Mytilus edulis: one gene and its partner. The protein of the gene in region 1 purifies or fractionates together with the protein of each later gene. This does not show direct contact. Links are inferred from orthologs where the notes say so. Each region holds a gene or a part of one and is shown in the gene's direction. Other genes may lie near its edges.

Region 1 (7,531 bases):
ATTTAATAAGTACATGTGAGCCATAAAATTAAATGTTCAACATATAACAAATTTCCTATAGGCTTGGATGCAAACTTCGGCAAAACTACGAAAAATAAATATCCATGAATATGAAAGTTTTCCTTAATCCATGAAAATTGGTACCTTAAAAAACAAATGAATCCACAGTACTCCTTATTTTCTTCTATTGACTTTTCAACCAACCATTATTGGAAATTGTAAAAGGTACAAAGCTTAGTTACCCTACTACATAGATTTGATCCTGTTTACTGTTGATGATTTTGAGCACATATCCTACATGTTACAAAGATATCTTTTGTTTATTTGTGTTGTCTGGTGGCCGTCTTATTAGCATATCCCACATCTCTGTTTATCTCAAATTCATATGTACATGTACAGGCAAAAAACATAACATCCAGCATTACTAGACTGAAAAAGTTCTCATCACATCATTTTATCAAAATACTGCTTTTCTTTGATTTTTTTGTAGGGGGAGTACCATAAGTATGTTTCTATGTTGTGATGTTATACTATTGTTTCAGAAAAGGGAGAAGGTTGGTACCCTTAAAACGTTTAATCCCGCTGCAAATGTTTGTACCTGTCCTAAGTCATGAATCTGATGTACAGTAGTTGTCGTCATACATGTTCTCGTTTTTATATAGATTAGATTTTGGTTTACCTGTTTCAATGATTTTACACTAGAGAATAAGTAATTTTTGGGGCCCTTTATAGCTTGCTGTTCAGTGTGAGCCAGGGCTCTGCGTTGAAGGCCGTACCTTGACATATAATAATAATGGTTTACTTTTATAAATTGTTACTTGGATAGAGAGTTGTCTCATTGGCACTCACACCACATCTTCCTATATCTATGGTATAGGGCATAATAAATCATTTCGTTATAAATACCTATCTGTCATTATGTTTCCTTGGTATACCACATCTTCCTATATCTATGGTATAAGGCATAATAAATCATTTTGTTATAAATACCTATCTGTCATTATGTTTCCTTGGTATACCACATCTTCCTATATCTATGGTATAGGGCATAATAAATCATTTCGTTATAAATACCTATCTGTCATTATGTTTCCTTGGCATACCACATCTTCCTATATCTATGGTATAGGGTATAATAAATCATTTTGTTATAAATACCTATCTGTCATTATGTTTCCTTGGCATACCACATCTTCCTATATCTATGGTATAGGGCATAATAAATCATTTTGTTATAAATACCTATCTGTCATTATGTTTCCTTGGCATACCACATCTTCCTATATCTATGGTATAGGGTATAATAAATCATTTTGTTATAAATACCTATCTGTCATTATGTTTCCTTGGCATACCACATCTTCCTATATCTATGGTATAGGGCATAATAAATCATTTTGTTATAAATACCTATCTGTCATTATGTTTCCTTGGCATACCACATCTTCCTATATCTATGGTATAGGGCATAATAAATCATTTTGTTATAAATACCTATCTGTCATTATGTTTCCTTGGCATACCACATCTTCCTATATCTATGGTATAGGGTATAATAAATCATTTTGTTATAAATACCTATCTGTCATTATGTTATGGTATAGGGCATAATAAATCATTATGTTATAAATACCTATCTGTCATTATGTTATAAATACCTATCTGTCATTTTGTTATAAATACCTATCTGTCATTATGTTCCCTTGGCATGCTGTGGCTATAATATTACCAATTGTAAATGAAGCAATGGCTTGCAGACTGGACACAATTCTGTAATGAAAAAACTATCAGTTTTTGTAAATTCAGAAATTATTGCGTGCATTTATTAATTGCGATTTTGTCATTTTAGACTGATTTTATGCAATTTTAATTATTGCGATATTGAGAAAATTCCTGTTTAATTCACAATGATTCATATACAAAAATTCAAAATGTGACTTATTTCGATGATAAAAACCTGTTGCATTTTTTGCAATAATAAAAACATTGCAATAATTTCTGAAAGTTCGAGAATTGAGCAGTTTTTCTATTTGTAAAGGGGCGTAACTCAAGAATGGTGAAAGTGATATATTACCAAGTTTAAATTTTATCTGTATTTTGTGGTAATAAGCATTGTGTAGAATTTCATAACATTAATTGAGGCAAACTAAAGTTGAAGAAAAGAAATGAAAAATTCTGCAATTTTCCATTTGAAACATTGAAAAGGGCATTACTTTAGAACAATAAAAGTGACAACCCCAAATTCAAACTTGATCTGTATTTTGTGATAATAAGCATTGTGTGTACGTTTCATAACATTTAATTAGGGAAACTAAATTTTTGAGAACGGAAACGACTATTTCAGTGATTTTTCATTTGTATAGTGGCATAACTCTAGAATGGTTTAAGTAACGCCACCAAAATTCAACCTTGATATGTGTTTTGTGGAAATATGCATTGTGTATAAGTTTCATAACATTTGGTAGAGACAAACTAAAGTGAAAGAATGGAAACGCAAATTTCAACAATTTTTCCAATTGTAAAGGGGCATAACTCTAGAATGGTGAAAGTGACATCACCAAAAGTCAAATTTGATCTGTATTTTGTGGTCATAAGCATTGTGTATAAGTTTCATAGCATTTTGGTTGAGGCAAACTAAAGTTAAGGTTTATGACCCCCTTCTGTAGTTATATTTGTACAAATTTTTCAAACTTCAATTGTATCAAAACTACAGATGTAATGAATAATAGAGGTAGGCCATTTTGTACATATACCAAGGGGAAACTTGATGCAAAGCATTATTATTTATTGTTTCATTGCATTTAATAGAAAAAGAATACTTTGTGGATACTTTGTGGCAAATAAACCAAGATTTTTATAGAAAACCCACAGCCTTTAATACAGAGATTTTTGTTATAAAATTTGAAACATAGATTACTCACTTGCTTTTCTATGATGTGCTAGTGTTTATTTATTTCAAAAAATTCTAAGCAACCTGTTAATTCCAAAATACCTCGTGTGGAGTCACTAGAGTCGAGCGCACCCTAAAAGGTGTACTTGATTTGGTCCATATTTTAATTTGTTTTAACCAATAACTACATTAATAAACTCGTTTTAAGGAAATCAATGCTAGCACTGCATGCAATAATCTTATATCATCGATCATGAAATTGCTAGCAGCGGGACCGTAGCTCTTAGGTCCTTATGTTATTTTTTGACTATTTGCGGACCATCCACAAATAGTAAAAAATAACATAAGGACCTAAGAGCTACGGTTCCGCAGCTATGAAATTGCCAAATATGAGATTACAAGGATAAATGCTGTGGATTTTCTATAAAATTTCCATATGTTTAGCATTGAATCAACACAAGGGTCAGTCAGGGGTACTACTTGTACAAGTGTATTTTATTTACTTGAAGAAGTAAAAAAATATATACATATATAAGTAAATAAATAATGTTTAAATAATCTCCCCTTCATTTTCTCAAAAATTTACTTGTATAAGTAAATTTTTCTTACAATCCAACAAAAATCCTCAAGTTTTGAGATGTAAAATCATGCCTTTAATGATTTTTCCCAGGTTTGCTCAAATTTTTTAATTAAAGTTCAATGTTTCATCTCATTAGTTCAACAAAGAAACTGATTGCGCAAAGATCTTAAGTATTTGCGCAAGGCCTTCAAAAATTGCTCCTTGGGGGCTTGTAAATGAGCAGTGTTCTGAAGATAACAGACAAATGGGATTTTCATTGTCCATGAAATTGCACTGAAATGATTAGTAAAGACTTCTGCAAAGAGCAGATAATTTAAAATTCTATTAGAGCAAAGAAATCCAAAGATTTCAATAAAAGAAGATAGGATGACTTTTTTACTTCTACAAGTAAAAAAATCTGAATGTCTAAGGGACATAACTCAGCCAATTTTTTTTTTACCTATACAAGTAAATAAAATTCACTTGTATAAGTAGCGTACAAATTTACTTATATGTGTATATTTATTTTTACTTCTTCAAGTAAATAAAATACACTTGTACAAGTAGTACCCCTGACTGAGGGTACATAATCATTAAAGTACGGAGAAATCAAATCGCAAAATTTGTATAAATTATAAAAAAAAAAAATGACACTTATTTCTATAATGTGTACTCTTTGTCAAATATTTGCTGATGCCGAATTGACTTTAATTCAAATAGATGCCGATTTGAACAGATGCCGATTTATCCTGGTACCAAATTCGGATTTGATTTCGCCCCCAGTATTTCTATGCCTGTTCATACTACAGCTTGTTTCAAAGATTCTTACTTTAAACTCAGGTCACACAGGATGTCGATAGAAATTTTATGACTGAAACCTGACAATAATATACGTCTTATTAAAAGATATGTGCATGAGAACGTTGCACCCCCGGCCAGAGTTAGGCCGGCAACCTCCATCTTTAAACACTTATAAATCTGACCAATCAGCAACCCCCTTTCAATTATTGACGGAAGTAATAAAAAACGAACCAATAAATAATCATGTAACTTGGTCTGATAAACGTAAACAAAGCAAATTCACTGACAAAATATTTACTACACATGTCTACAATCATGTAGCATGAAACCAGAAAATACATGTTATTTGATACGCTCTAATAAGTATGAAAATTCTACTCGGCCATTTCACAAAAAATATGAACATACGAAAAATATTTATAACAGCTATATTTTTTTTTCAGTATGATCCACAGGGGTGTGTTACTATACACCTTATCGCTATTCCCGCTTGACCCGAGAATCTGTCCCGCTTGAACCTTTGACGTCATACAACAATCTCTTTTCCATTGTGGCGTCAGATATTTTCTTTTATGACGTCAAAATTTTACGGGAACTTGTGTGATGTCCAGTAATGGCGGACAAATAGCGATAAGGTGTATAGTCTATACACCTTATTGCTAATCCCGGCTGACCCGGCCGCTTGAACTTTTGACGTCAACAAGAATCACTTTTCCTTTGTGGCGTCACATATTTTTCGGGAACCTGTGTGATATCCAGTAATGGCGGACAAATAGCGATAAGGTGTATTTTCCGGGTTTACTATCCATACAAACACCAAAAAAATCACACTTATAACAAACCCCTGTGTAAATAGACATCTATTTTAGTATTTAGTTTATTCACAGTCGCTTGAATTTAAGTGATATATGTATGAAATTTTTTTTAAAAAAATACTGTTATATGAATTTTAGTGATATATGTATGAAAAAAAATTAAAAAAAATACTGTTATATGTATATAAGGCCAATTAAAATTAATTGATAGATTTTCATCCCCGCCCGCCACTCTGAAATCGCCCTGCCCCGAATTTTTTTATTTTATAAAATTTACGATTTCCCGATTTTGTTCATTCCCGTTACCGGTAACCGTTAAAATTTCGTTTCATTCAATGCTTCCTGTTTCAAATTTCGGTTTTGTACCTCGAGTAAATCTAACCAAAATGATTAAGTCTACCTTTCCGCTGCTCTATAATGACAACATCATCTTCCGAGAGTAAAGATTGATAACGAGAATGACATGAAATATTGGTGTTACGAGAAAAACGCTGTTTCCAAGACTGCAAATCGCGGTATGTCACAAATTTCTGTGATTAGAAAACTGCGGACTTTTTTATTTATGCAATGACTTTGTCTCAGGAAATTTAAACTGTAAATGATACTCAAAGCACAAGATTCGTGGAAACCATTGATACCTAAACATGACTGAATTATAGATATTGAAACACAAGCACGAATTTGTCAGATTTATGACCGTTTATTGAATTTAAAAAGTCGACTAACATACGCATTTTATTTATGCAAGCCCTTTGATTTTACCCATGGCTGTCTTTTTATGTTGACAAACAGCAAATTTCCCAATACAGCCAAAAAGACTCATTAAACAACAACTTTTTTTTAATTATTAGGTTCATGTTCTACATGATAATTATATTTTCATCTTGCATATAAAGTACCAACCCTATTATTTTCAACACTCTCTGAGCTTTCATTTTATTCTGTACTCATAATAATTGTGTTGCATACCAATGCATTTGCTTCATTTTATAGTAATACAAACTATTGTTTAGAAACCCAATACATTTTGTGTAGGTAGTCTAACTGAAGAGAGTATTTCTCACACGTTTTTGTTGTTTAAAAGTTTTTAAAGCCGCAGTTAGATATATTTATTTAAGGATTTGAAATATTATGTAAGATTCCTCATACTTGTGTATACATGATATAAGCTTATTATTACACTTGCATATACGAAGAACTAGTCACAAAAGGGTTTCATATGAAATAAAATTTAAAAAATAAAATCCTCCCACCCGCCCCATTATTTTCAAAAATTTGGATGAAAATCTACTAATAAATTTTAGTTGGCCTAACAGTATTTTTAAAAAAAAATTTCATACATATATCACTAAAATTCAAGCGACTGTGGTCTATTATAGACCAGGGACAGTCTAGGCTACAGTTTTTAATTTTGTTGGTTTACGCATTTTCTCCATGAAAAAGTCAGGTCGGTCGGTCGGGGAAAAAAAAGAAAAAAACATCTTTCAAGACAGAAAACTGATATGCAAAATAAATATATATTTCACCTTTCTAATAATATGTTTGTTATGCTATTTTGTTATCATTTCTTAAAGTTCAGTTCTATGAAATATTAATGCTCAGCTGTAATAAACATCCCATGACATTGTCTAATAATTTCCCGTAAAAAAGGGGGGTGCACGGACAAAGACGAAATTAAATCGTCATTTCACAAACAAGAAAAAACAGATTCATGTAGTTCTTAATCAGTTCCAGAAAACTTGGTGAATAATGATCTTCAAGCAAGCAAGAAAACTGATAAAGAAAAAAATGTAAACACTTCGTACGAAAATATGTTTCAACACACGTGTCAAAAACGTAATAAACTCGTCCACTGGAAAAAATGAGAATATTGGGTTAATATGTTGTCATGCATTCCCGTTTTTTATCCAAATGGACGTTATTTTTTTATTATCTATGAAACAAGAAAATTTCAAATGATTTGTTAATATTCAGTACTTTAACTTGATGTCTTGAACTTCGACCTGTTCACATTTGGACAAGTCTATTTCTATGAGAAGATACATCTTACGGCTTTTGACAAATAAGGGAAACTAACTTATTGTGTAATTGGTTTTAAACACAGGTTTCGTTCCGCATTTTAGAAACGTAAACTGGAAGTTTCATTTTTGTCAAGCCTTCGACTTTTGTCGAAAAAGCGTGACATAGCGATCCTACATTCTGTTGGTGTCGTCTTCGTAGGCGGCGTCCACAAATATTAACTTTGTGGTTACAGTTTTTAAAATTTTATGAACTTTCTCATTCTACTTTGGATTTGTACCAAACTTAGACAGAAGCTTGTTTATGATCAAAAGCTAGTATCTAGAAGGAAATTTTGTTAAAACTTTGTACCTGTGTATCTGTATTTTACTTATAAATGGACTTAGTTTTTTTCCAGTTAACATTACATACAATCTGCAGTTAAAGTTTTTAAAACATTTATCACTG
Region 2 (7,918 bases), on another chromosome or scaffold:
CTAGCAGTTAAACCGAGAGCTATTCATACAGGACTTTAAGCAAACTTTGAACTCTACAAAGATTCATGACATAAATTCTGCACACGATGAGTTTCAGACTTTTCACTAACAATAGACGAGCAAATTCCATTAAACAAGAGAAAAACCTTCATATACAACAGAGTTAGGTAATATGCACAGTCCCGGGCCATAAGTATTCGTCACTTGCGATTTTCACTACATATTTCGTATAAAACTGCATTTTTCAAAAAAATATTTTCGGATAATTTCTAGTTTGATATTAAGCAACTGGTACCAATAGAAGCAGAATTGTCATAGGTTTATTTGTTTATTGGGTTATATTTTTTTTTTGTGCGTTATTGTCAATTTCTCACAAATTACATAAATCTGGACAGAAATATGCTATTAATTTCAACCAAATGAAATTGTAAAATGTTATTGTCTGTGTTCACATCAAGAGAAAATAAAAACAACTTCAGACAAAAGAGGGGGGGCAAGGGGTTTAACTGTTATTCTGTTATGGGGTAATTTAATTCTTTGTTATCTGTTATTCTGAAAATATATTAACTGTTAGCTGTTATTGTCTTATTCCTTGTTATCTGTTATAGGACAATTATTTTTATTGTTATCTGTTATTGTGAGATTGTTTTGCTGTTAATTGTTATTGAAAATTGGAATGTTAGCATTTTGACAGCCAATCTTGAGTAGAAATTGAAAAAAATGAACATTGTGATTTGGATGGAAAGTTGTCTCATTGGCACTCATACCACATCTTTTTATTATCACTATTGGGGTCTTTCCATTGGTGATATGGAGGTCACGTATTCGCAGAAGGATTCCAGTAACAAACATCACATAAACATATTTAAAAACAGTGAGGTCCAGGACCATTCCCGTATACATTATTGTTACTCTTTGTAATAAATTCCATTGTCTGTGAACATGTTTTTAGATGTAAAATTTTGTACAAATTATAATTTGTACATAAAATAGGTACAAATTATATTTATTTTTTTACTTTGTACACATTTTTCTAAAAATTATAATTTGTATTTTGACTTTGTACACATTTTTTGTACAAATTATATATATATTTGTGAAAATGACAATTTGTATATGAAATTTGACTAAAATCACTTTCAACAATGTATAACTTTTACAATAACTTATCATATGGATTTTTTTATAAAAAGAAAGCCTTGATACACCGTATATAATTGTAATTCAATGACCAAATAATAAACGTTATGTTGTACTGTTACACCACTGTCCAAGGTTTATAGACACCAACTAACATGTTTAACCCCGCCACTTTCTGTATGTGCATGTCCCAAGTCAGGAGCCTGCAATTCAGTGGTTGTTTTCGTTTATTAGTTTTTAGATAAATCAAGCTGTTAAATTTCTCGTTTTGATTGTTTTTCGTTTGTCTTTTCAATGCCTTTTATATATGACTATGCAGTATTGGTTTGTTGCTCATAGTCGAAGGTGGTATGATGAGCTATAGTTGTTAATTTCTGTGTCTTTTTGTCTCTTTTGGATAGTTGTCTTATTGGCAATCATACCACATCTCCTTTTATACTTATTTACAAAATACAAAAATAGTATAAATGTATCATTTGTTTGAGCATGTGAGTGAAATGTTGCCTTTGGGAATTACACGACATCTTTTTCTTCAGCATTCACACTAGAAGTGCTACTCCTCCTCTTTGTATTTACATGAAAGAGAACCCTGACTATCAATTTTTCGATCGCTTTTTAACTGGTTCACATAATGAAAAGTGAAGCTCAGAAACTGTTGCTGCAAATAAAGATGTGTCTTTAACAGCTTCAAATATTTAATTTCTCGACAAAATATACTTAAAATAAGTGAATATATTTGTCTCTGTTAAGGCCTAGCAATCCATACAACCAGTTATATAATAAGATGTACTGACTGTACTGTATTGGTCCTGGACCGGACTGATTTTAAAATTTCATTTACTGTTATCTGTTATTGTCCCTTTTCAATTCCTTGTTATCTGTTTTACGCCAAATCAATTTACTGTTTTGCTGTTATTGGAACCCCCCTTGCCCCCCCTCACAAAACGATGACTAAATTAACAAATATTGTTTAGACAATTTTCTATCTTTGACTAGGTTTGTCCCCTTATATACCTTAATATAATATAATGTTATATTATGGCATAATGGGAAAAACATTTCTGAGGCAAGTGCCTGTGTGTAGGTAGACGAAATAATTACGATTGACATACTTGGGCAGGCCTGCTATGGATGATTCCGACAACAAAAGTATCACTGTATGCGTATTATACACCATCGTGTTGGAAAAAATATTGATTTTACGGCATAACAAGTTTTAGTGGGGTTGAGAACCGAGAAATCGCCATATAACAGAAATTCGCGACCGGGTGAACATTTTCAAAGAATGCGAGTTAAGTACCTTGTGTTATATTAAGGTATATAGGGGGGGGATATGAGACAAGTGTCTGTGGCTGCTTATAACAATCCAACCAAAATGTCTTCAAAATGTATATTTTTTTTTAATGTGTTTTTATTTGAAATATAGAGCAAAGAAAGTGGCAGGTGACGAACACTTTTGGCCAGGTAACGTAGCTCTAAATCATGCTGTTAACTTGAATAGTTTTACAACGCACTCATACAGATACAGATACAGTGGTGTTCCCTCAGTCTGTTACTAAAAGTAAGTGTTTACCGTCAATATGACCCGGCAATATCAATGTCCTTTTAATCTGCATATAAAACAAGAGGCTCTCAAGAGCCTGAATCGCTCACCTTAATTTATTTTTTTGGTTAAATCTCTCATCAATGATTATTTTGGCTTTTCAATTTATTTAAATGTTCTTTGAATCGTCCTATTTTCTTCAAAAGCAAAAAAAAATCATTTTCTCCTATGTTCTATTTTAGCCATAGGAGCTATGTTTCTGACATACAAGGAAATGAAATATAAAATTTATACTAGATACTCTGAAACTCATTTAGCCTAAGTTTGGCTGAAATTGATACAGCAGTTTCAAAGGAGAAGATTTTTTAAAGTAAGTCAACATGATGAACAAATTGTGAAAAAAGTCTTTAAAGGGCAATAACTCCTTAAGGGGTCAATTGACAATTTTGGTCAAATTGACTTATTTGTAGATCTTACTTTGCTTAACATTTTTGCTATAAACAGTTTATCTGTATCTATAATAATATTCAAGATAATAACCAAAAACTGCAAAATTTCTTTAAAATCATCAATTCAGGGGCATTATACCTGAAAAACCAGTTACCCAATTCGGCTGAAAATTTCAGGACAGGTAGACCTTGACCTAATAAAACTTTAACTTCTTGTCTTATTTGCTCTAAATGCTGGAGTTTTTGAGATATAAGCCAAAAACTGCATTTTACCCTGTGTTCTATTTTTAGCCATGACGGCCATGTTTTTTGACGAAATAAAAAATAAAGCACAAACTTTATTTTGTACACCCTACTGATCATTCAGTTGAAGTTTGGTTGAATTTGGTTCAGTAGTTTTAGAGGAGAAGATTTTTTAAAGTTAGCAAATATGATGAACAAATTGTGAAAAATTGTCATTAAAGGACAATAACCCCTTAAGGGGTCAATTGACAATTTTGGTCATATTAACTTATTTGTAGATCTTACTTTGCTGATCATTTTTGCTGTTTACAGTTTATCTTTATCTATAATAATATTCAAGATAATGACCAAAAACTGCAAAATTTCCTTAAAATTACCAATTAAGTGACAGCAACCCAACAATGGTTTGTTTGATTCATCTGAAAATTTCAGGGCTGATAGATCTTGACCTAATGAACATTTTTACCAATGTCAGATTTGCTCTAAATGCTTTCGTTTTTGAGATATAAGCCAAAAACTGCATTTGACCCCTATGTTCTATTTTAAGTAACGGCGGCCATGTTTTTTGACGGATCAAAAATCGAAGCCCACACTTTGTGCAGGATAATCTAAGGAACAATCATGCTAAGTTTCATCCAAATCCATTCAGTAGTTTCAGAGGAGAAGATGTTTGAAAAATTGTTAACGACGACGACGACGACGACGACGACGACGGACGCCAAGTGATGAGAAAAGCTCACATGGCCTTTTAGGCCAGATGAGCTAAAAAGGTGCTTGAATGATTGAAGGCCTACTTTTATCAAAAAATATTTGACGTAGTATCTATTTAATTGAATGCTCCGTGGAATTGGAATATGAGAAGTTTATTATATAGACTATATATAATAGATTCATATTAATACACCTTATCGCTATTTGTCCGCCATTGCTCACACAGGTTCCCGTAAAATGTTGACGTCATAAAACAAAATATCTGACGCAACAATGGAAAAGTGATTGTTGTTGACGTCAAAAGTTCAAACGGCCGGGTCAGCCGGGATTAGCGATAAGGTGTATGCGGAGTTTGAGGGGTCCTGATCCCGAAATCCCTGGCTTAAAAACTTGAACACGAAATCCCGAGGTCCCGAATTTAAATAAATGAAAAAAACGAATTCCCGAATCCCGAAATCCCGAGCTTAAAAACACCCGATCCCGGAGTCCCGATAAATATCCTATCCCCCTCATAATACCACAGTCGCCTGAAGATTTAATAATTATAGCGAAAAATGGGGGAAATAAAATATTTTTAGTAGTATTAATAAAATATTTTTAGTAGTATTATTATTCTATATAATACTACTAAAAATATTTTATTTCCCCCATTTTTTCGCTATAATTATTAAATCTTCAGGCGACTGTGATAATACACACTCAGGCGTAAAATCGTTCACGTCTACACCGAACTTGTACTTACGTTTAGTATTGGAATTTCCGGTGTTTTGGTTTTGCGGCAAAACAAAATTGTTTGCAATCTGCTTTTCATATACACAGGGAAATGCTTTAGTACCAACTATTTTTAGTGTCAACAAGTATATTGATGATCAAACATTATAAATAATCTTGTATGTATTTTCTTTATTCTGTTTCACCCCCCTTTTTTTGTCTTTTGTCATGCTATTTTTTTCTTTTTGATTGGTTCTTTTGGTTTTGCCATCTTTTGGTAATAATCAATTGGCATACAGGAAAAGTTACATTTTTCAACCTAATTAAAAAATAACAATAGAACTTTTGTGGAAATTAATTATAATTTACACATGTATAGCGATTTATATATAAGAATGTTTCTGGTGGTGATCTAGTCCAAATAATTATGACGTCTGGCAAGGCTATCTGCCCTTTGACTATGTCCAAATAATTATGACGTCTGGCAAAGGCTATCTGCCCTTTGACTATGTCCAAATAATTATGAAGTCTTGGAAGGCTATTTCAAATTTTTGCTTTGACGCCTTCCTGCGATGTAAGGCGTCAAAGAAAAAAATATAATAGCCTTTCAAGATGTCATAATTATTTGGACTACCCTTTGACATGTTTGACGGCTAAAAAAAAAAGATTATTAAATGTTTTCACAATTAATTGTTTTTTGCATAAAATCATCCAAAATTTTGTTTGCCTCCCAACCCAATGAATGTACTAGCGGAATTACACACTTCCTTTCAAAAATTCTGGATGCGCCCCTGGTTTCATTACTTCTTTAACTTCAAGTAGCTTCTTCCTCTTTCGATCAACAATGCATTAACACTAAAGAATTAATACATGTTGTAGCTAAATGTATCTTCCTTATTTCATATTTTTCTGAATAAAATTTTTGTTACAGACATAACCATAGTATGATTGATTAGATAATTAAATATGGAACCTGAGGCAACACATTGTTATTGTAAAGTAAAGGAAATTGATGAAGAGACTCCAAAGTTAACATGTATGAAATGTAGACGACAGTTCCATATAGGTATGATTTATCAGTTTTATAGAGTCAATGACAGTTAAACATGTTAAAAGAATTGAAAAGAAGAGAAAATTCAAAATACAAAGTTTTAATTAAATTTGGAGTTAATGAAGAATTCTAGAAAATGTGGTACAGTAGGGTTTTATTAAATAAGACGGAAAGGGACATTGCCACCAAAATGGCAGATCTAGAGCATCAAGAAAAATCACCTGACTGAGAATTCACCACCAAGAGTTATTTCCAATTAAGTCATCTAGTACGTACTGTATAATAACTAGGAATTTGAGTAATAAAGAGTGTATTCAATTTTATTTATAAATCCTTTATTTGCAGTATCACCATTGAAAGCAAATTTGGCAATCACAAATATAATGTAATACTACATACATGTATGTCACTCAAACATTAACCAAATATTATGTTATTTTTCACTGAACAATCCTAAGTTCTGTAAAAAAAATATGAATTTATAAAAAATGAATTATAGTGAATGAGCAATACCTTTATGGTTTCAAAAATACTTATAAAATTGAGAATGGAAATGGGGAATGTGTCAAAGAGACAACAGTTCAACAAAGAGTAGAAAAGAGCCCAATGCCACAAAATGTCTTCAACGCAGTGAGAAAATCCTAAACCCAGAGGAGGGCAACTCAGTATTTGCTGTCAATACATGTATAGATAGCATGTTGTTTATTTTGGATAATACATGAAATATTTGCAAATACTGTGGATTCATTATTATTCGTGGGATACCATTTTTTGTGGTTTTAGTTGGTACAAGTGAACCACAAATTTAAATGTTCAACGAATCACAAATTTGCTGTTGGGTTGTATACAGACTTTGACAAAACCACGAAATCAGATATCCACGAAAATGCAAAAGTTCCTCAATCCACGAAAATTGGTACCCACGAAAATAAATGAATCCACAGTATACATAAAGCAAATATGTATCAATTAATCTATCTTCTCACAGTCTCATCCATACTTATATTGAACAACCCTGATAGCATATACATGTTCTGTTATTATGTAAACAATATTTTTTATCAGATTGTTTAAAGACGGGAAAGCCATCGTTATTGGCAGGTGATGTATTTTTTCACTTGGTCTGTACTGAATGCAATAACAGTGGAGAAGAAGAAGTAGATAGATTAAAGATGCAATGGTAAATCTTAATAGAATTTTATAGGATTTTAACAGTTCTTCTTTCATTGTCTTTTACATTTCTTAACAATAACTGGATTTGTTTTTTCAAGTTGTGGGCATTAAGTTCAAAGTTTTTAGTTATATTTACCTTTTTATACCCCATAGGAGGGTAGGAGTATGAAATATGGCATTTCAAATACAGTACTGAAAAAAAAGCTGTCTATGCGTGATAATAAAGAATGATTATCAATGAGACAACCATCTATCAAAAGTACCAGGATGTAAACTGCTCTAAAACCTGTAGAAAAGAGGACAAATACATTCAACTTCACACTAAAAACAAAAAGACATCTGATTGCGCTAAATTTACACAACACCACATACAAGCACAACAATAATAACAGGAAAGTCAATGAAAACTATTGATGCAAATCAGGCAATAATAAAATGTCTTTTCCTCTGAAGCTTCAAGTGAATATCTTCCTAAACTTTAAAGGAAGGATCAGAATTCCTTTACAAATATTTTTGATTTTGTGCTAAAACAAATATGCTGACCTTTAGATTCCTATTTAACTCTATGGCAGCATATAGGCGTGCTTCAATTAAAAGGATTTTTAACATTATGTTTAATATAAATGAAGAACCATTTGACTTGATTATTTAGTTCATAGAACCATGCGCTCTATACTTCCTAAGCTTAATTGTGGAAGAAATCCTGAAGTTTTATTATGTATATATGTGAGGAAAACTTAACAAAATGTCCCTTTTGTCTTTCTCTCAATTTTCAGTAACTTGAAATACTTCATTCTAAATTAAGAGACTTAAATATTGGGGCCATAACCCTTACCAATGCCATGGTCATTCATTAATACAATTAACAGATTATGGTTGTATTAATTGATAAACATT

What was found.
Region 2: the proteins of SAGA-associated factor 29-like (region 1) and cysteine-rich protein 2-binding protein-like purify together in Drosophila melanogaster (affinity purification with mass spectrometry; 5 studies listed by BioGRID). This does not show direct contact. The link is inferred for Mytilus edulis from reciprocal best matches to the Drosophila melanogaster genes Sgf29 and Atac2.

Annotation. Positions count from the first base shown.
Region 1 is NC_092349.1:72,417,354-72,424,884, reverse strand, and holds the start of SAGA-associated factor 29-like, read left to right. Parts: upstream 1-4,470; 5' UTR 4,471-4,613; intron 4,614-7,531. Other genes in the region: TLC domain-containing protein 3A-like, read right to left, coding at 1,684-1,770, 4,279-4,409. UniProt on the Drosophila melanogaster protein: Component of both the SAGA and CHAT histone acetyltransferase complexes, which both predominantly acetylate histone H3.
Region 2 is NC_092344.1:116,011,906-116,019,823, reverse strand, and holds the start of cysteine-rich protein 2-binding protein-like, read left to right. Parts: upstream 1-4,803; 5' UTR 4,804-4,976; intron 4,977-5,728; 5' UTR 5,729-5,763; coding exon 5,764-5,863; intron 5,864-6,913; coding exon 6,914-7,028; intron 7,029-7,918.